5 linked regions of the Oryctolagus cuniculus genome follow. The protein of the gene in region 1 purifies or fractionates together with the protein of each later gene. This does not show direct contact. Links are inferred from orthologs where the notes say so. Each region holds a gene or a part of one and is shown in the gene's direction. Other genes may lie near its edges. The genes, in order: KDM5A, MORF4L1, GATAD1, PHF12 and SIN3B.

Region 1 (3,514 bases):
AAGTGAACCATCAGATGGAAGACCTCTCTCTCTCTCTGCCTTTCCTCTTTCTTTGTAACTCTGACTTTCAAATATATAAATAAATCTTAAAAAATTATTTTCATTTAGTCAAAAAGCAGAGTGACAAGAAACAGAAATTTCACCCCCAGTACACTCTCCAGATGCCCTGCTGCCAGGGCTGGGCCGTGCCGAAGTCCGCAGCCTGGAATTCCATGCAGATCTTCTATGTGGGTGAAAAGGTCCCACGCACTTGAACCATCATCTGCTTTCTCTCAGGGTGTATTAGCAAGAAGCTGGATTGGGAGCAGAGTAGCTGGGACTTGAATTGGCATTCTAGATTGGGATGTGGGCCGTGGAAACAGTGGCCCTAACCTGCTGCCCCTTACACCCACCCTAGTAATGATTATTTTTAGAAATTATTTTCATGTTGTGCCATTGTACTTTTCATGTTTATGTCTTAAATCAGAAATTTGCCCACAGAGATAAAAATCAAGATTTTTGATGCCTTAAAAATTAGAAAGATTTCATTTACTGGCATAAATTATATTTCAGGGTGTCCTGATGTCAGAAGAAGAGGTGTTTGAACTTGTTCCTGATGATGAACGACAGTGTTCAGCATGCAGAACCACCTGTTTTCTCTCTGCTCTCACATGCTCCTGTAATCCTGAGCGGCTTGTATGTCTCTACCATCCAACTGATCTGTGCCCCTGCCCCATGCAGAAGAAATGTCTTAGGTATCTAAAAGTGTCTTGTAAGGCCTCCATTATCTTGTTAATGATATTGTTGGTTAATGATGTTGTTGGTTATTCCCTTCTCTGTCTCTAGATTGATACCTTCTGTTTGTTCCTCTAATTCCCCTGCTTGAGAACTAGTCCTTTAAAGTTGGACCATACTTGGCAGCTAAAATGTAGTTTCCTTATTATTTATTTCATATGTTCTTTATCTCCCTTTGGTTTAAAATTGTGGGCTTTTTTGATTTTATATAAATCAAGATCCTATTCCTCTGGCCATTGTACTTAAGCTGATTGTACTTGAAACTTATTTTGACGTTGTTATTGGATTTAATCTCTGGTTTTTTTTTTTTTTTTTTTTTTTTATAGGTATCGTTACCCTTTAGAAGACCTCCCTTCTCTGTTATATGGTGTGAAAGTCAGGGCACAGTCCTATGACACCTGGGTCAGTCGTGTTACAGAAGCATTAGCTGCTAACTTCAACCACAAGAAAGGTTACTTTTCCCCTTTTGGATGAATTTGTTGAAATGAATGTCATTTTAAAAGAGGTCTTTTTCAGTTTGGGTTATTTTTTCCTCTGGGATTGAGACTAGGGGTTGATTGAATATAGACTTGATTTGTTGTTGTTGAAAGGTTTACTTATTTTTATTTGAAAGATAGAGAGGGAGAGACAGAGGTCAGTCTTCCAGGCACTGGTTCACTCCCCAAATGGTCACAATGGCCAGGGCTGGGCCAGACTAAAGCCAAGAGCCAGGAGCTTCTTCCAGTTCTTCCACATGGGTACAGGGGGCCAAGCACTTGGGCCATGTTCTGCTGCTTTTTCCCAGGCCAGTAGCAGTGAGCTGGATCAGAAGTGGAGCAGCCAGGAATTGAACCAGTGGGATGCTTGTGTTGTAGGTGGCAGCTTAATCTGTTATGCTACAGTGCCAGCCCCTAGACTTGATTATTATGTTTGTGAACAGGCATTAGGGAACGAGCACCCACCTGGTCAGCAGCTTTCATTGCACAGCTGTGGTAGGTTTCTATTAGGTTGATAACGCACTTGAGTGAGTTTAGGGAACATTTTAGAATGGCTTTTGTTCTGTGATCACAGTATATGGTATTTTTATTTTTACAGATTTGATTGAATTGCGAGTAATGCTGGAAGATGCTGAGGACAGGAAATACCCAGAGAATGAGCTCTTTCGAAAACTCAGGGATGCTGTAAAAGAAGCTGAGACCTGTGCTTCTGTGGCTCAGCTACTCCTGAGTAAAAAGCAGAAACACCGGTAAGCGTAACAAAAGTTTGATTTTCTACTGGCTCTTTGTTGCTTTTGGAGTGAAAGAATTTTTTTAAAGCTGTCAGAAGTATGCAGAATGACTTTATTTTTTATTTTTTAAAAGTTTATTTATTTATTTGAAAATCAGAGTTACACATAGAGAGAGGGAGAGAGGGAGCGCTATCTTCCATCTGCTGGTTCATTACCCAGTTGGCCGCAATGGCCAGAGCTGAGCCAATCCGAAGCCAGGAGCCAGGAGCTTCGTCCGAATCTCCCATGTGGGTGCAGGGGCCCAAGGAATTGGGCCATCTTCTACTGCTTTCCCAAGCTGTAGCACAGTGCTGGATTGGAAGTGGAGCAGCTGGGTCTCGAACTTGCACCCATATAGGATGTCAGCACTGCAGGTGACAACTTTACCTGCTATGCTACAGCACTGGCCCAAAAAGCCAGAATTTTAAGTTACCTGTGAGATCTGACATTATCTTTTACTTCTTGTGGCCTTGACTTTCTATTCCCCCAAAATATACCTGCTATTTTCTTCTTTTTTAGGGGGCAGAGGTGCTCAGAAACTGTGAAATATTCTTTAATTTTTTTTCTAAAGATTTATTTATTTATTTGAAAGTCAGAGAGAGAGCTCATCCATCTGCTGATTACTCCCCAGATGGCCTCAGTGGTGGAGGCTGGGGCAGGCCAAAGCCAGGAGCTTCTTCCAGCACTTGGGCTGTCTTCTGCTGCTTTTCCTGGGTCATTAGCTGGGAGTTGGATTTGGAGTGAAGCAGATGGGGCTCCAGCCAGCGCCCATATGGGATGCCAGTGTCACTGTTGGAGGCTTTACCCACTGTGTCACAACACTGCCCCAAGAAGCTCTTTATAATTCAAGTTAGTGTAAGTTGCTGTAGCAGGACAATAGTAGACAGGTCTGCTGGACCCAGTGCTGCTGATTACATTGAAGTTTGTATAGTGGCTGTGGGTCAAACCCTTGGCGGTAGGCGGGAAAATAATTTTGTAAGGCCTACGAAGTTTAGTTTATTTTCAATATAGCCAAATTAATTAATTAATTAATTAATAGCTATATATTTTATGGCCTGGCTTCATCTCTACACTGAATGCATTTAGTGACTTCTAAAATTAGATTTTTGAAACATGATTCCTGAATCTTGAGGTTTATATAAATTTTCTTTAAACGTTTTCAAAAAAGATTTCATTTATTTATTTGAAAGAGTTACACAGAGAGAGAAGGAGAGACAGAGTGAGAGAGGTTTTCTATCCGCTGGTTCACTCCCCAATTGGCCGCCAAAAGCTAGAACTTCGCCAATCTGAAGCCAGGAGCCAGGAGCTTCTTGGGTGCAGGGACCCAAGAACTTGGGCCATCTTCTACTGCTTTCCCAAGCCATAGCAGAGAGCTGGATTGGAAGTAGAGCAACGGGTCTCAAACCTGTGCCCATATGGGATGCTGGCACTATAAGCAATGGCTTTACCTGTTACGCCACAGTGCTGGCCCCATAAAATTTTTTTTTAAAGTTT
Region 2 (4,069 bases), on another chromosome or scaffold:
CTGTAGCGTAGGGGGCACTGGCATCCCACATGGGCGAGACCCCGCTGCTCCACTTCCGGTCCAGCTCTCTGCTCTGGCCTGGGAAAGCAGTAGAAGATGGCCCAAGTGCTTGGGCCCCTGCACCCACGTGGGAGACCTGGAAGAAGCTCCTGGCTCCTGGCTTCGGATCAGTCCAGCTCTTGGCTGTTGTGGCCAATTGGGGAGGGAACCAGCGGGTGGAAGCTCTCTCTCTCTCTCTCCACCTCTCTAACTCTGCCTTTCAAATAAATAAATCTTTAAAAAAACCCCAATATATAAGTACTTTATATTGTAAACAATGTTTTTTAAAAAGTCCTATAGGGTCTAGTTTTGGTGGGGCTGGGGCCATGGAGAGCCCTCGCTGCTTCCGTCCGTGCCCTCAGGGGCAGTGGAGGAAAGCTGAGCTGGTGTTGGTTCAGAGCGAACGAGGAAGACACCTTCTGGGTTGTCGCAGGTAAAAGCAGGGGCTGTTACATGGAGGCTGGAGTCACAGCAATGGCGCTGCGTCCAGAATTGGCGCGCGGAGGATTTGCAAACCTTGCACGGCGGGTGGGCTGGGGGCCGCTGCGGGGACCTGAGCCCCCGGCTAAGCGCTTGGCTAAGCGCTCCGCCCAAGACCACCAGCCCCCCACCCCCGCCCTGCGTCTCCCTCCTTAGTTCCGCAGGCCGCGGCCCGGCGAGCAGCGAAGGTAGAAACGGGAGTCCAACAATGGCCCTCGGTCCCGTCCACCCAACAAGCCGGCCACGACCCTGCCCCACCAGGAAGCTTCCAGACGTCGACCATTTCCCGAGCCCCGGGTACCCCTCATCTTTGCGGCCTTGGCTTTGCTGAGGGGAACTCCGCAAGCAGTGCGATTCCCACTCTTCCCCCGCGGCTGGCCCCCCGAACCGCAATCCCAGCTCTCACAACCCACAAAACCAGCCCCAGCCGTGAGCCACCCGCGCCGACGGCGCGCGGGCGCCCACGCCGGGTGGGGGAGGGGCGCCTCGTTCCCGCCCCCGCCCCGCGGCGGCGCCCGCCCCGCCGGAACTACAAGTCCCGGCATGCCCCGCGGCGGCGCGGGCGCAGCGGCGCGTGCGCGGCGGCCGGCAGTTGGCTGGCGCGACGCCTGCGCGGGTCGCGGGGCGGTGAGGTGTGCGGACGCTGGCAAATCGGGCCCAGGATGTAGAGCCGGCGGTTCCTGACGGCGCGTCTGACGCTGAGTTGGGTGGGGTAGAGAGTAGGGGGCGGTAGTCGGGGGTGGTGGGAGAAGGAGGAGGCGGCGAATCACTTATAAATGGCGCCCAAGCAGGACCCAAAGCCTAAATTCCAGGAGGGTAAGTGTGCGCCTTTGAGGGGAAGGCGCCTAACGGCCCGGGGAGGCAGGCGGCGCGGGGTGGTGGCGGCCCGCGGGCCGGGGCGGGGGGCTGAGCTTTGTGCGGGGAAGCGCATTGCGCACGGTGGCCCCGGGCGGCCCGAGGGGAAGGGCTTTGTGCGGCGGAGGCGCCGAGGCGGGCGTCGGGGCGGCGGGAGGCGCGCCCGGCGCGGGGCAGAGCCTCGGCCGAGCGTTTGTTATTGTTTGGAGGAGGAGGGCGCGGGCGAGGCAGCCCATTGTGGGGCGGCGGCGCGCCATGGCGGCCGTTAGGGGAAGTGATGTGGCGTGGGGGAGGCGGCGGCGGCGGCGCGGGCGACGGGCCCGCGGCCGCGGTGGCGGGAACCGGCCGGCGGAGCGTGGCCGCCGGCAGCCCCGGGGTGGTCGGCGTTGGGCCGGGACGCGGAGCTGCGGCTGAGGGGGGTGTGGGGGTGCGGGTGGGGGATGGGCGCGGCGCCCCGGGGCGGGAGAACTGCGTTGTAAAATGGCCGCCGCAAGATGGCCGCCGGCGTCGGCGTGGGCCGCGGCCCCGGTGCGGGGCGGGCGCAGCGCCCCCTGGCTCGGCGTCCGCGCGGGGAGGCCCGAGCCCCGCGCTCACCTCGGAGCGGCGGGTGGGGGGCGCGGAGGGGGAGAAAAACAAGACCGGAGCGAGCTGGGCGCTCGGGGCGGCTTTGTGTGGCCTGCGGGCATCGCTGGCTCCGCCCAGGGGCGGGGCCCGGGGTGCGCGTGCGCCGTGCGGCGGCTCGTGTGCCGCGCAGAGAAACGGGCTTTGGTGCGGCCGCGGACTGTGGGTGACCCGCGGCCATAAAACCTGATGAAGTGACTCGACGGAGAATTTGTATTGATTTTTTTTTTTTTTTTTTTATGGGCGAGCGTTTCGGCCGACTTGGGCGAATGGCGGCCCTGGCCTTCGGCGCCCGTGGAGTGTGTATGAGGCTGTCTGTGTTTGCGCGGGTCGCGGGCCGGTGAGGTCTGGGCGAGGAGGAACTGCCCATTTCCTTTCGTGCCAGGGAGATGGGTGCTGAGTACCTCCGATGCCCTGTCCGACGTGCGCGCGGCCTGTGTGGGGGCTTTTCAGGTTGAATGCGTGCAGCTAGGAGAACTTTAAAGACGGAGCCCCAGTGTGCCGTGACTTCAGTGGGATGTGAGAGGGCTCTCCCGGGGTCCCGGGGTACTGTGGGTGATGAGCGCCTCCCGCCTCCCGCCGGGATGCCTGTGGCTGTGTCCTCTGGAGTCGTGATTTTGCTAGGTGTTCAGAACAGGGGTCGATGGATGTCGTTCAGAAAGCCCGTGAGCCTGGCGGGGCACAAAACTTTTTTCTATCAAGGCTGAAACTAGCTATTGCGGATATTAATGGAAACGCTCTCCCTCAACAGCTGAACGCCTCGTTGTAGCAGTGTACTTTTTATATCCCAGCTTTGTGTGGAAGATACAGACCCTGTTTTACGTGTTTGTAGAAATGGAAAAAACTATAGGCTCCGATGTAGGAACAACTCTGCAGCACTTTTTTTTTTTTTTTTTTTAAGAGTTATGGAGCTGGTGCACTCGCTAGATGGCCCCACCAGCCCAGGCCAGGCGCTTCATCTGGGTCTCCCACGTTGTGTGGGGCCCAGGCACTTGGGCCATCTTCTGCTTTCCCAGGTGCCATAGCAGGGAGCTGGTTTGGAAGTGGAACAGCATGAAGGCCGCAGCTTTACCCATTGTGCCACTTGCCCCTCCCCCCGTGTTTCGGTTCTAAACCACAGGAATGGTAGAGTGGGGTGATACTAGGAAGGAACATGGAACCGAGGTACCCAGGTGCGGTCTCCGCGCTTGCTGGGTAGTTTTCTGTTGCTTCACACCTGAATTTAACAGTTTTCTTTGTAAAACTAAAATATTCAGAGAATATCGTGTTAAGGAAGAAGAAATGTTTGTTCAGTGCTACCCGAATTGAAACATTATAGAAGAGAATGTAATGTGATGGGTAAAAGTAGGAATTGCCAGAATTTGATTTTTTTCTGAGTAGTGTGAACCCAGGTTTACTCATGGTACAGAATGTCAGCACAAAGCAGATGAAAATGCAGCGAGCAGTGTTCAGGCATGATGAACGCGCAGGCTTGGGCCACTTGCAGCTGTTAAAGCGCAGGGCAACGGACACTTGGACATTATCCCCTTTGAGGGGAGACAGTTCTGTCAGGAATTAAGAAATTGGCTGATGGTGGCTTTTAATGAGCACAACCAGTGGGAGGATGGGAACTCGGGACTGTCATTAATCTTGAATTTGAAAACATTGAGCAGAATTCGCCTTGGGACTAGAAAGGATTAATGGTGGAGAATAGTGTGAAAAACCTACCAAATATGGTGGCCTGCTGTTTCCAAATTACTGCTCTTCTACTTCAGCGAAAAATCAACGATTTGTTATCCAGGGTCATGCTCTTAAGCTAGCTGGTATTTCAACAGAATACTAGGGTCAGGTAGCTAGAATGGAGGTCAGAAGGTATCAGCCTTAGGGTAGTTTTTGGCAGCAGCCATCAAGAAAAGAAGAGAGGAGAGATTAAGCCATTTTCGCGGTACCTTAAAAATGTACATGGAAGTGGAACCAGGGAGCTCACAGATCAGCTCTTTGGTGCTGTTGTTTGTTAGCAGTGTAGTTTATCTGTACCCCTAAGCTGTTGGAAAAGTCACTGATCTTGGTATCTCAGTCTCCACTTTGATTGGAG
Region 3 (3,514 bases), on another chromosome or scaffold:
TTGTTTGATTGAAGAGCCAGGGAAGAAGATGTGAATGGAAGGCAGAGGTGTAGGAAGCATTAACACAGGATGTGTGTAGCTGCGTTAGTTGTATATAACATGGATAAGACACAAGGCCTTGAATGGCAGAAATGCCAGTAGTTGCAGCGTGGGGTGATGTGAAACACAGAGAGCAGAGGCGGCGGGCAGCAGCAAGTTTAGGAAATGGACAGTACGTTGAGGGTAAACATGTCCTGGAGATATTACTGTCGCAAGAGTTTCTGTCATTCCTTTGGTTTGAACTGAATGGTATCTGTTTCCTTGGAGTAGGTGGTTGGGGTGGGAGGTGTGCAGGTCTGTTCTCAGAGGTACGCGCTGGTGTCCGGGCAGCGCAGAGAGGCCAGGGTGCTGACCTAGGAGCTGCGGCTGCAGTGTCCCCCTCAGAGCCCTTAGCGGGTCTCGGCCTTTCCGCAGCACCATGACTGTGGCACTGTGGGGGCGGCCCAGCACCCAGGGTGGCCCTCCCCGCGGCCGTGGTCTGTGGCTGTCAGCGAGGGCTCCTCCATGTGCCGGGCGTTCTGGCCGCCACGGAGGGTGCTGGGGATGCAGGAGGATGTGCAGGGTGGCGGTGGAGGGCGTGTGAAGTCTGTGCCTCGGGTTTGCTCTTGCTGTGAACCTAAAACTGCTCCCAGCAAATGAAGGCTGCTTTTCTTCAAGGCAGCACTGCTGTGATGCAGCGTCAAAGCACTTGTTTGGATGAACTCTGTTCCAGATGCAGATGATCACATACGCCTTGCATATCTGTTTCTGATTTCTTTAAATCATTTTAGAATTGGTTTCAAGCATATACACATTGACGCTGGACCATCTCCAAGACCTTTTGTTGACCACTTTAAACTTCGATGGTAAGGCGGGCCTCACTGATTCAGAGCTGTGATGCTGTTCTTCCGTGATGGGATACTCCTCTTTCTCCCAGGGTGTGTATTACCAAATTGGCGACGTGGTTTCTGTGATTGATGAGCAAGATGGAAAGCCCTACTACGCTCAGATCAGGGGTTTCATCCAGGACCAGTACTGCGAGAAGAGTGCGGCTCTGACGTGGCTCATTCCCACTCTCTCCAGCCCCAGAGACCGGTTTGATCCTGCATCCTATATCATAGGTGAGTTTGACACTCAGAACAGCTTCTTGAACTTGGCTAAGTCTCCAGTATTATACGAAAGAGTACATTAGTCTTTTTTGGGCAGTTGTGACAAAATACCACAGACTGGGTGGCTTAAGCAGTGGGAATTTGGTTTTCCACTGTTCTGGAGTCTGGAATTCAAGATCCAGGTGCAGCCAGGGCTGGTTTCTGGGGAAGGCTTCCCTCCTGGCTTATAGGTGATTTTTTTTTTTTTTTAATTTATTTATTTGAAAGAGTTACAGAGAGGTGGAGACAGAGAGATCTTCCATATACTGGGTCACTCCCCAGATGGTTGCAACGGCTGGAGCTGAGCTGATCAGAAGCCAGGAGCTTTTTCCGGGTCGCCCGTGTGGGTGCAGGGGCCCAGGTCCCCGGGCCATCCTCTGCTGCTCTCCCAGGTGTGCTAGCAGGGAGCTGGTTCAGAAGTGGAGCAGCCAGGACTCGAACCAGTGCCCATTTGAGATGCTGGCGCTGCAGGCTGGGCTTTGTCAGTGTACCACAGCACTGGCTGTAGGTGAATGCTTTGTTGCCATGTCCCCTTAGGGTTTCCTCTGTGTGTGCACGTTGTGGGAGAGCTCCTGTCAGATGAGGGTCCTGCTCCTGTGACTTCGTTTCACCTTAGTTACCTCCTGGAAGGTCCCAGCTCCAAAGGCCATCATGTTGAGGATTAGGGCTTCCCCACGGGATTTTGTGTGGGGACACAGCAGTCGGCACCAGCAACAGAAACGCGGGAGCATCACTGAGTACAAAGAAAGAGGGCTGTGCAGAAGGAGCGAGGGGCATTTAATGGAGCTGAGGTTTGAGGCCATCAGCTGTTCCAGTCAGAGCAGCGTCACCTACCCAGAAGTGATGTGGACGGGACTTTCCTGAGTGGCCGGGTGTACCGAAAGAACTTACTGCTGAGGAACTAGGATGTCTGAGTTTCTTGTAAACATATATTCAAAAATAATTTTAAAGGGGCCGGTGCTGTGGCATAGCAGGTAAAACTGCCGCCTGCAGCGCTGGCATCCCATATGGGTGCCAGTTCAAGTCTTGGCTGTTCCACTTCTGATCCAGCTCTCTGCTATGGCCTGGGAAAGCAGTAGAGGATGACCCAAGTCCTTGGGCCCCTAAACCCATGTTGGAGCCACCTGGGGAGCGAACCAGTGTATGGAAGACTTCTCCATCTCTGTCTCTGCCTCTGCCTCTCTGTTAACTCTGCCTTTCAAATAAATAAAAAAAAACTTTAAAAAAATATTAGTTTTTGAAAGAACTATTCCAGTTATTTCTGAAATATTACAGGGGGTCCGTAGGTGTCCCTCTGAATGTGGCACATGTCATCCTAGATATCCTTTTGGAGCATATCGCTGTTGACAGTTGAAATGTCAGCTGCTGCACTTTTAGGAAGTTCAAGGTTGCTAAGAGACTGACGATGGTTTTTGATGTAGACTTAAACAAAGTTACTGATTAATACAAGTTTGGAAGTATTCAAATTTTTTTTTAAGATTTATTTTAGGGGGCCAGCGCCGTGGCTCACTTGGTTAATCCTCTGCCTGCGGTGCCAGCATCCCATGTGGGCCCCGGGTTCCAGTCCCTGTTGCTCCTTTTCCAGTCCAGCTCTCTGCCGTGTCCTGGGAGGGCAATGAAGGATGGCCCAAGTGCTTGGGCCCTGCACCCGCATGGGAGACCAGGAGGAAGCACCTGGCTCCTGGCTTCAGATTGGCGCAGTGCCGGCTGTGGCAGCCATTTGGGGAGTGAACAACAGAAGGAAGATATTTCCCTCCCTCCCTCCCTCCCTCCCTCTGTCTCTCTCTCTCTGTTTATAACTCTACCTGTCAAATAAAATAAAAAAAAATATTTTATTATTTATTTGAAAGAGTTATAGAGAGAGGTAGAGACGGAGAGGTCTTCCATCCGCTGGTTCACTCCCCAGATGGCTGCAACGGCCAGAGCTGAGCTGATCCGAAGCCAGGAGCCAGGAGTCTCTTCTGGGTCTCCTACATGGGTGCAGAGGCCCAAGGACTTGGGCCACCTTCTGCTGCTTTCCCAGGCTGTAATAGAGAGCTAAATTGTGGAGGAGAAGCCAGGACTTGAACTGGTGCCCATATGGGATGCTGGTGCTTCAGGCCAGGGCTTTAACCTGCTGCACCACAGCGCAGGCCCCAGTATTCAGATTTTTAGAAGTTAATCCTGGGGCCAGTGCTGTGGCTCACTGGTTAATCCTCCTCCTGTGGCGCCAGCATCCCATATGGGCACCAGGTTCTAGTCCTGGTTGCTCCTCTTCCAGTCCAGCTCTCTGCTGTGGCCCGGGAAGGCAGTGGAGGATGGCCCAAGTGCCTGGGCCCTGCACCCGCATGGGAGACTGGGAGGAGGTG
Region 4 (3,514 bases), on another chromosome or scaffold:
TTGCGCTCCAGTGCAGCATATTGAAACATTTATCTGCTAAGCAGATGCCTTCGCATTGGGACTCTGAACAGACAGAGAAGGCTGATATTAAGCCTGTTATTGTGACTGACAGCTCAATCACCACTTCCCTGCAAACAGCTGACAAGGCACCTACAGCTTCCCACTACCCCTTGTCCTGCCCCTCAGGGTTTAGCACCCAGAACTCCCTGAGCTGCTCTCCACCCCACCAGCCCCCAGCCCTAGAGGACATCAGCTGCAGTTCTTGTGCGGAAAAATCCAAGAAAGCCCCTTGTGGGACTGCCAACGGGCCAGTGAACACAGAGGTGAAAGCCAATGGCCCTCACCTCTACAGCAGCCCCACTGATTCCACGGACCCCCGGCGACTTCCAGGCGCCAACACCCCCCTACCAGGCCTCTCACACCGGCAAAGCTGGCCTCGACCCCTCACGCCACCAGCGGCTGGGGGGCTTCAGAACCACACCGTCGGCATCATTGTGAAGACAGAGAATGCCACTGGCCCCAGCTCTTGCCCCCAGAGGAGTTTGGTTCCTGTCCCAAGCCTGCCCCCTTCCATTCCCAGCTCTTGTGCCAGCATTGAGAACACCAGCACTTTGCAAAGAAAGACTGTCCAATCACAGATAGGACCTCCGTTGACAGACTCAAGGCCACTGGGCTCACCCCCAAATGCCACCCGGGTGCTCACTCCCCCCCAAGCAGCAGGAGATGGTATCATGGCCACAGGAGCCAACCAACGATTCTGCTCACCAGCGCCATCATCAGGTGAGTGCTACTCAGTCTGGGGTGATTTTACATTCTTCCTGGCAAGACCTAAGATTCCAAAAGCATTTATACTGCTGTGACTATGTCACATGAATTTTTTTTTAATACTGATTTACTTAAAAGGCAGAGCATCAGAGAGAGAGGGCAAGGCAGAGAGAGCTTCCATCTGCTGGTTCACTCCCTAAAGGGCCACAACAGCCAGCTCTGGACCAGGCCAAAACCAGGAGCCAGAAATTCCATCCAGGTTTCCCACATGGGTGGCAGGGGCCTAAATACTTGGGCCGTCCTCCACCATCTTTCCAGGTGCATTAACAGGAAGCTGAATCAGAAGCAAAGTAGCTGGAATTCATGGAATTCAAACTAGCACTCTGATATGGAATGCCAGCATCACAAGTGGTGGCTTAACCCTGTGTGCCACAATGCTGGCTCTCATCACGGGATTTTGATCTCTGTATTGTTTGTTCTCCCCCCCACAGCCATTTGTGTAATAGAAAAGGAAGCATATTGTCAACCTGTCCCCGTTTTTATAGGTGGGACTGCTTAGGCTCTGAAAGCTTACATGATTTCCTTAATGGTGCCCAGTGGCCGGATTAGAACTGCAACCTGAGTCTCCTGACTCCTTCCCCCACTTTCCAGGCCTAGACTTCTGGCTGTTTCGTTTTGTTCTATCACCTTCAAAAACAGCATCATGCTATCTGGAACCACTGTGGTCTAGGTAATGGCCTCAGTGTTTCATGTTTCACACAAGACTAGAGCCATGCCTGGTAGAGATTTTGAGCCAGCTCATTTGAGGAACTTCCATGTCAGGGAAACTGGGACAGAAAGTATCACAGTGTTTTAGAGTAGCTTCAGAGTGGGATGCCCGTGGAGGTTGGTCTGGCTCAGAAGCTTGCTCTCAGGCTCCATGCTAAAGGGCATTCCCTTAAGTCTATACTTGGCCCAGTATGGACCTGCTTGCTCAGCTGCCCCTAGTCAGCACTCAGGAGCCCAAGGTTGCTGACCCCAGCATCTGAACCAGGTTTCAGATGCTGCTGGAACCCCCTGTGGTCTCTCCTGTCCGAACTGAAGCCGGCCTCCTAGTCAGCTGGGAGTCTCGGTAACCAGGTGACTGTGATTTCCCTGCATGGGGGCCCCTGGTCCCAGGATGGCCCTGCTCCCAGGCTGTTTTTCTGTCTCGGTTTACCTTTTCATATCAGCCTGGATAGCTTCTGCACGCTCTGAGTCGTACTTCAGTAGGTAGGAATTACAGAGGAAAGTACAACTTCCTTTAGAGGCAGCAGGGTGGTGGTCATGGCCCAGAAAATGAAGCTGCCCCACCACTTTCCCAAAGCAGTAGATCACAGTGGCTCTCAGTGCTCTGGAGACTGCTGCGTTCCCTGGGTGCATTGTCATTCCGTTTGCCCTTCCTCACCACACGTTTTTAGCTCTAGGAGTTCCAGAACCTATGGGTTGAGAATCAAGAAGGGAACATCACCTTTGGTCCGAAATCCAGACCTGTCTCAGCAGTGGGGGATTGGATCAGTGGGTTTCCCTCAGGCTACGTAAGTAACAAGTCTTCCTGCTCCGTCCCCAGATGGCAAGGTCAGCCCCGGCACGTTATCCATAGGAAGCGCTTTAACCGTACCCTCTTTCCCAGCCAACTCTACTGCCATGGTGGACCTCACCAACTCACTTCGAGCATTTATGGATGTCAATGGAGGTGAGTGCGTGAGCTGCTTCTGTTCTACCAACTGCTGGGGTGCAGGGGCCTTCCTTGTCCGACATTTGGCTCATTTCAGAGACAGAGAAAAGAAACAATGCCTGATCTCAGGGGACTAAGGTGTGGAGGGTGTGGAGTGCCCCTTTGGGTAGAGAATTGGAGTAAAAAAGCTAGCTCTGCCTTCTACACATGCATGTACCTGTAAAGACAAGGGAAAACAAGGCTGAGCTGAACCAGTGAGCCAAGAACAAAGTGACTTCAGCAGATCACCTGGCCTTCAGAGCAAAACTGGGAGCTTCCTCCTCGAAGTCAAGGAGTCATCAACCCCCAGAGTCAAGGAGAAAAGGCACAGATCCTGACCTCTGTGAACAGAGGGTAGATAGAAACCCAAGTCTCAAAACCAGACAACCAGGCTGTCCCCGTAGGTAGGCAAGTGGTTTATTTTGCTCTGCCTTTTTAGGACCACTTCACCCAAAGTTACTCTGCCCAAATACCCACATGCACATGGCGAGCTGCCTGGCTCTGCTTCCTTGAACCCCTCTATACTCGATGCTGTTTGACTGGATTTCAAAAATGCTGAACTTTTTGCTCTGTGACCCTTAACTACTTCCACATTCCATTTCCACCTCAGCTGCTTTTTAATCTTTTTCTTTGATTAATAGAAATCGAGATAAATATGCTGGACGAGAAGCTGATCAAGTTTCTGGCCTTGCAGAGAATACATCAGCTTTTCCCCTCCCGGGTCCAAGCTTCACCAGGCAGTGTCGGGACACATCCACTGGCTTCCGGAGGGCACCACACAGAAGGTGCGCATGCACACACCACACAGCACCACTGCACCACCAGCTCTCCCCTCTGTGTGTACAGCCACTTTACTTCCATGGAGAATCTCAGCTTCCAGTATCTCGCATCTCCTTGTGTGCTTTTAAAGGGCTTAGTAAAGCACTATGGCTTTTTTATTCTCCCTCAGAGCAGGAGTGAGATGGCAACCACAGCTTTTTCTGTTCAGTCTTGGGGAAGACATTTGAGACACAG
Region 5 (3,943 bases), on another chromosome or scaffold:
TGGGTGGAGTCTCCCTCTTGGCTTTGACCTGGCCCAACCTGGGCTGGGGGGGTTGGGGGGGAATGAACCAGTGGATGTAAGATCTCCGTCTTTCAAATAGAAATACTAAAAAGTAAAAATAAAGCGGCCAGCGCTGTGGCGCAGTGGGTTAATGCCCTGGCCTGAAGCGCCAGCATCCCATATGGGCGCGGGTTCTAGTCCTGGCTGCTCCTTTTCCAATCCAGCTCTCTGCTGTGGCCTGGGAAAGCAGTAGAAAATGGTCCAAGTGCTTGGGCCCCTGCACCCATGTGGGAGAGCCGGTTGGAGCTCCTGGCTCCTGGCTTCAGATCAGCGCAGCTCTGGCCGTTGCGGCCAATTGGGGAGTGAATCAGCAGATGGAAGACCTCTCTCTCTCTCTTTCGCTCTGCCTCTCCTCTCTCTGTGTAACTCTTTCAAATAAATAAAGAAATCTTTAATAAAAATAAAAAGAGTCTAGTTTGGGTTGTGTTTTCTAGATGATGAGGGGACCAGGCTATTTTTTAAAGGATTATTTGGAAGCCAAAACGACAGGGTGGGGGCAGGGGGAAGAGAGAGAGAGAGGGAGAGGGAGGGAGAGAGGTGTCTTCCTTCTGCTGGTTCACTCCAAATGCCCACTCCTGACGCAAGTCCACAAGAGCACCGAGTTCGGGAACTCTGGTTTGGCGGCCCCGGAGCGGGTCCAGCTGCAAAATGATGGGGAGACGGGAAGTGGAGAGAGGAGGAAAGGGGCAAAGTCAAGGACCTTGTAGCCAAAACGGCCCCGAGCAGGCCCCGGGGTGCTTCAGGCCTGTACCCCAGGGTCACTTCAAGCCCTGCACAGCAGGGGAGCCACACACGTCTTCCATAGAGCCAGCAAGGGGGGGGTCCCCGTGGGCAGGGGTCGCGGCTGCTTTGCTGCTACTGGGCGAAAGCAGCCAGTGCTCGGGCCTGTGTTTCAATAAAACTTTATTTACAAACACAGAATTTTCTTCCATCAAGCGGGGCCTGACAAACGCTTAGCCCCTGCTCTGCTCTGTCAGTCAGCAGCCAGGACCTCCAACTTCCAGAACTACACCTGCCCCAGGGCCCCGCCCACTCCTCGACGTCATCGGCCCCGCCCCGGGGAGGAGCCGCGCGTGCGCGACCGGGGACTCAGCGGAGGCGGGGCGGGCTTCGGCTCTGACTTCCAACATGGCGCACGCGGGTGGCGGCAGCGGCGTCGGGGGCTCCGCGGGCCGAGGGCTGAGCGGCGCCCGCTGGGGTCGCTCGGGCTCCGCGGGCCACGAGAAGCTGCCCGTGCATGTGAGTGGCACCCCCTGCCTGCCTTCGGGGACCCCCGTCGCGCGGCCCCCGCGGCCTGCGCCCCCTCACCCCGGCCCCACCCGGCCCCGCTTCGGCCTCCCCTCTGCGCAGCCCGGGACTCCGGACCCCAGACCGACCCCTCGGAGGCGCAGCCCGCTGCCCTTGCTGCCCGGGACCCCGCCGTCCCGTGCCTTGCCCGCCCCCGCGACCCCTGCCCACCGGGACCCTCCCCGTTCCCGCAGGTCGAGGACGCGCTGACTTACCTGGACCAGGTGAAGATCCGTTTCGGCAGCGACCCTGCTACCTACAACGGCTTCCTGGAGATCATGAAGGAGTTCAAAAGCCAGAGGTACCCGGGACCCCCCATCCCCATCCCACCCCCCGCCGCGGGCTGGAATCGGGCCAAGCAGACTGGGGGACCCGGCTCCCCGGGCCGCCTCCCAGCGGGGTGACCTTGCACAAGGGGTTCATCTCCCGGGGCTTCGACCCCTCCAAAAAAAACCCAAAAAAAATTGGGGAAGGAGTTGTAGCCACGATTGGGGGGGGGTGCGAGGTTGGGGTCTCTTATTTTAAAATGCTGGTTTTGAAAAGTTCAGTTTGGTCCTCATTGGCTCCCGCTAGCCCCGGGGCTGCTCAGAAGTAAGGGGTACCAAAGGCTTAGGGAGGGACCTGCCACGCGCCCAGACTGTTGGGAACGCTGTCTTGGTAAGCTGGAGGTAGAGGGGGCCCAGACCCTCAGGTGTGTACTGTTTTCTTATTTATTCGCGTGAGAGAGAGAGCGCATGCGCGCGAGAGCGAGCGTCCATCCGCTGGGTCACTCCCCAAATGGCTGCAGCAGCCAGGGCTGGGCCAGGCTGGAGCCAGGAGCCGGGAGCTCCATCCGGGTCTCCCACGTGGGTGCAGGGACCCCCAAGTCTTCCTTCGCTGCGCCGGGGTCTGGAGTGGGGCTGCCATGTGGGATGCGGGCGGCGCAGGCCGTGGCCCGTGGGTCCTGTCCCCGCGACTCGCGGAAACCCGGCTGGACAGGTTTCCTTTCTGGGCCGCTCCTGCGGGGGCCCGGCACGGGGGGGGGGGGGGGGCTCTGCCCTGGCGTTCTTCCCGCGCCTCCCATACTTTGTCGCAATCCCGTTGCTCTGATGGGAGCCTGTGTCACAATCCGGTACCGTGGGGTTGAGCACGTGGCGTCCCCAGCCAGGCGGCGGGCCCTTCTGCTGTTCACGGAGTGCGTGGCCAGCAGCGTCTGGGGGAGCTGAGCCCCGAGACCCCTCTCCCTGGTCGCCCGAGGGGCGGGTTTGCAGGGGAGCGGAGGCGCGGGGCTCTTCCCCGGCCCACCGGCCGCCGTGTCTGCCCCTCCCGCAGCATCGACACCCCCGGAGTCATCAGGCGCGTGTCGCAGCTCTTCCACGAGCACCCCGACCTCATCGTGGGGTTCAACGCCTTCCTGCCGCTGGGGTACAGGATCGACATCCCCAAGAATGGCAAGCTGAATGTGCAGTCGCCCCCGTCAGGCCAGGTACGCGCGGGAGGGCGGGGCAGGTGGGGCGGGGCGGGCGGGTGGGCGTGGCCTTGGCCTGCTGCTGCCCAGGCGCGGCTCCCAGCACGCGATCAGAGTAGGCGGGGCCACCTCCACGCGCGTCCCTGGGCTCCTGACTGGTCTGTGTGGAAGATCTCGGGGCGGCGCCCTGCCGACACGGAATCTCACGTCAGAGCCGGAAACGCCACGTGAAGCCGTGGCGTGCGGCTTTCCCAAGCGTGCCAGGCAGGCTCGAGGGTGTGTGTGTGCACGCGCGCGTGCAAGCAGCTTTGCTTCGTTTAATTGCTCCTGGGGCACTGGCTCAGCTCAGGCTTGTTGGCCACGGCTCCTTCTGTCTCGGGGTGACAGCTGCCCGGTCTCCCAGCCCCTGGGACGCAACGAAGGGCCGCCTAGCTGCAGGTGCGGGAGGTGACCGAGGGCTTTGCCTGCACCTCCTGCTGTTGCCACCTGCGGCATCCCTGCCCCGCCCCCTCCCCAGTACTCCCCGCTGGTGTGAGGGAGCCGGCTCCGCCTCCGCCTCCAGCCCATGCCCCGCCCCGTCAGCGAGGGGCAGGTCTGGAAGCACCGGGTGGAGGCTGCAGAGGGGCCGATGTGTCCGGGAATCAGGACCTGGGCAGAGAGCAGCTCGCGGGGACGTGCCCGGGGCCAGCCCCTCCCCGTGCGTGCACGGCGCACGTGTAAACCCGGCTTGCCCACACAGCAGCACCGCCCCCTCGCCACTGAGGACTGAGCCGCGGCCTGCGTCTCCATGGGGAGAGGCTTGGAGGCGGGGCCGGGGCTTCAGGCCGCCAGAGCCTTAGCGGGTTCAGCTCCCCAGTGCGGGGCAGCAGCGTCGCCCGTGTCTGCATGCTCTGTACACACCGGGGCATCCCGGATGTCCCCACCCTCGCCCGCTCACAGCGCTCACCACCCCTAACCCCCTAAGTGGGGGGGTCACCCCACTTCCCCGGGCCAGGTCTCGGCAGGAGCCGCACCGGGAGGGTTACTGGGAGTGGGTGCCTCCCGGCAGTAGTCCCAGGGCCCCGCTGTCCCCCAGGGCTGCTGTCCAGATGACGAGAGCGGGCACGATCCTGTCCCCTCCCCAGGGGGTGGAGGTGACCAGAGCGCCCC

Evidence for each region.
Region 2: the proteins of KDM5A (region 1) and MORF4L1 purify together in Homo sapiens (affinity purification with mass spectrometry; 5 studies listed by BioGRID and IntAct, counting the BioPlex papers as one, with this or other methods). This does not show direct contact. The link is inferred for Oryctolagus cuniculus from reciprocal best matches to the Homo sapiens genes KDM5A and MORF4L1.
Region 3: the proteins of KDM5A (region 1) and GATAD1 purify together in Homo sapiens (affinity purification with mass spectrometry; 6 studies listed by BioGRID and IntAct, with this or other methods). This does not show direct contact. The link is inferred for Oryctolagus cuniculus from reciprocal best matches to the Homo sapiens genes KDM5A and GATAD1.
Region 4: the proteins of KDM5A (region 1) and PHF12 purify together in Homo sapiens (affinity purification with mass spectrometry; 3 studies listed by BioGRID and IntAct, with this or other methods). This does not show direct contact. The link is inferred for Oryctolagus cuniculus from reciprocal best matches to the Homo sapiens genes KDM5A and PHF12.
Region 5: the proteins of KDM5A (region 1) and SIN3B purify together in Homo sapiens (affinity purification with mass spectrometry; 4 studies listed by BioGRID and IntAct, with this or other methods). This does not show direct contact. The link is inferred for Oryctolagus cuniculus from reciprocal best matches to the Homo sapiens genes KDM5A and SIN3B.

Annotation. Positions count from the first base shown.
Region 1 is NC_091440.1:98,148,137-98,151,650, reverse strand, and holds part of KDM5A (lysine-specific demethylase 5A), read left to right. Parts: intron 1-552; coding exon 553-734; intron 735-1,100; coding exon 1,101-1,225; intron 1,226-1,848; coding exon 1,849-1,999; intron 2,000-3,514. UniProt on the Homo sapiens protein: Histone demethylase that specifically demethylates 'Lys-4' of histone H3, thereby playing a central role in histone code. Does not demethylate histone H3 'Lys-9', H3 'Lys-27', H3 'Lys-36', H3 'Lys-79' or H4 'Lys-20'.
Region 2 is NC_091443.1:105,842,921-105,846,989, reverse strand, and holds the start of MORF4L1 (mortality factor 4-like protein 1), read left to right. Parts: upstream 1-1,261; 5' UTR 1,262-1,295; coding exon 1,296-1,335; intron 1,336-4,069. UniProt on the Homo sapiens protein: Component of the NuA4 histone acetyltransferase (HAT) complex which is involved in transcriptional activation of select genes principally by acetylation of nucleosomal histones H4 and H2A.
Region 3 is NC_091447.1:43,279,441-43,282,954, forward strand, and holds part of GATAD1 (GATA zinc finger domain-containing protein 1), read left to right. Parts: intron 1-955; coding exon 956-1,139; intron 1,140-3,514. UniProt on the Homo sapiens protein: Component of some chromatin complex recruited to chromatin sites methylated 'Lys-4' of histone H3 (H3K4me), with a preference for trimethylated form (H3K4me3).
Region 4 is NC_091448.1:44,391,417-44,394,930, reverse strand, and holds part of PHF12 (PHD finger protein 12), read left to right. Parts: coding exon 1-780; intron 781-2,353; coding exon 2,354-2,479; intron 2,480-3,141; coding exon 3,142-3,285; intron 3,286-3,514.
Region 5 is NC_091447.1:65,102,347-65,106,289, forward strand, and holds the start of SIN3B (paired amphipathic helix protein Sin3b), read left to right. Parts: upstream 1-1,141; 5' UTR 1,142-1,188; coding exon 1,189-1,299; intron 1,300-1,541; coding exon 1,542-1,648; intron 1,649-2,658; coding exon 2,659-2,812; intron 2,813-3,943.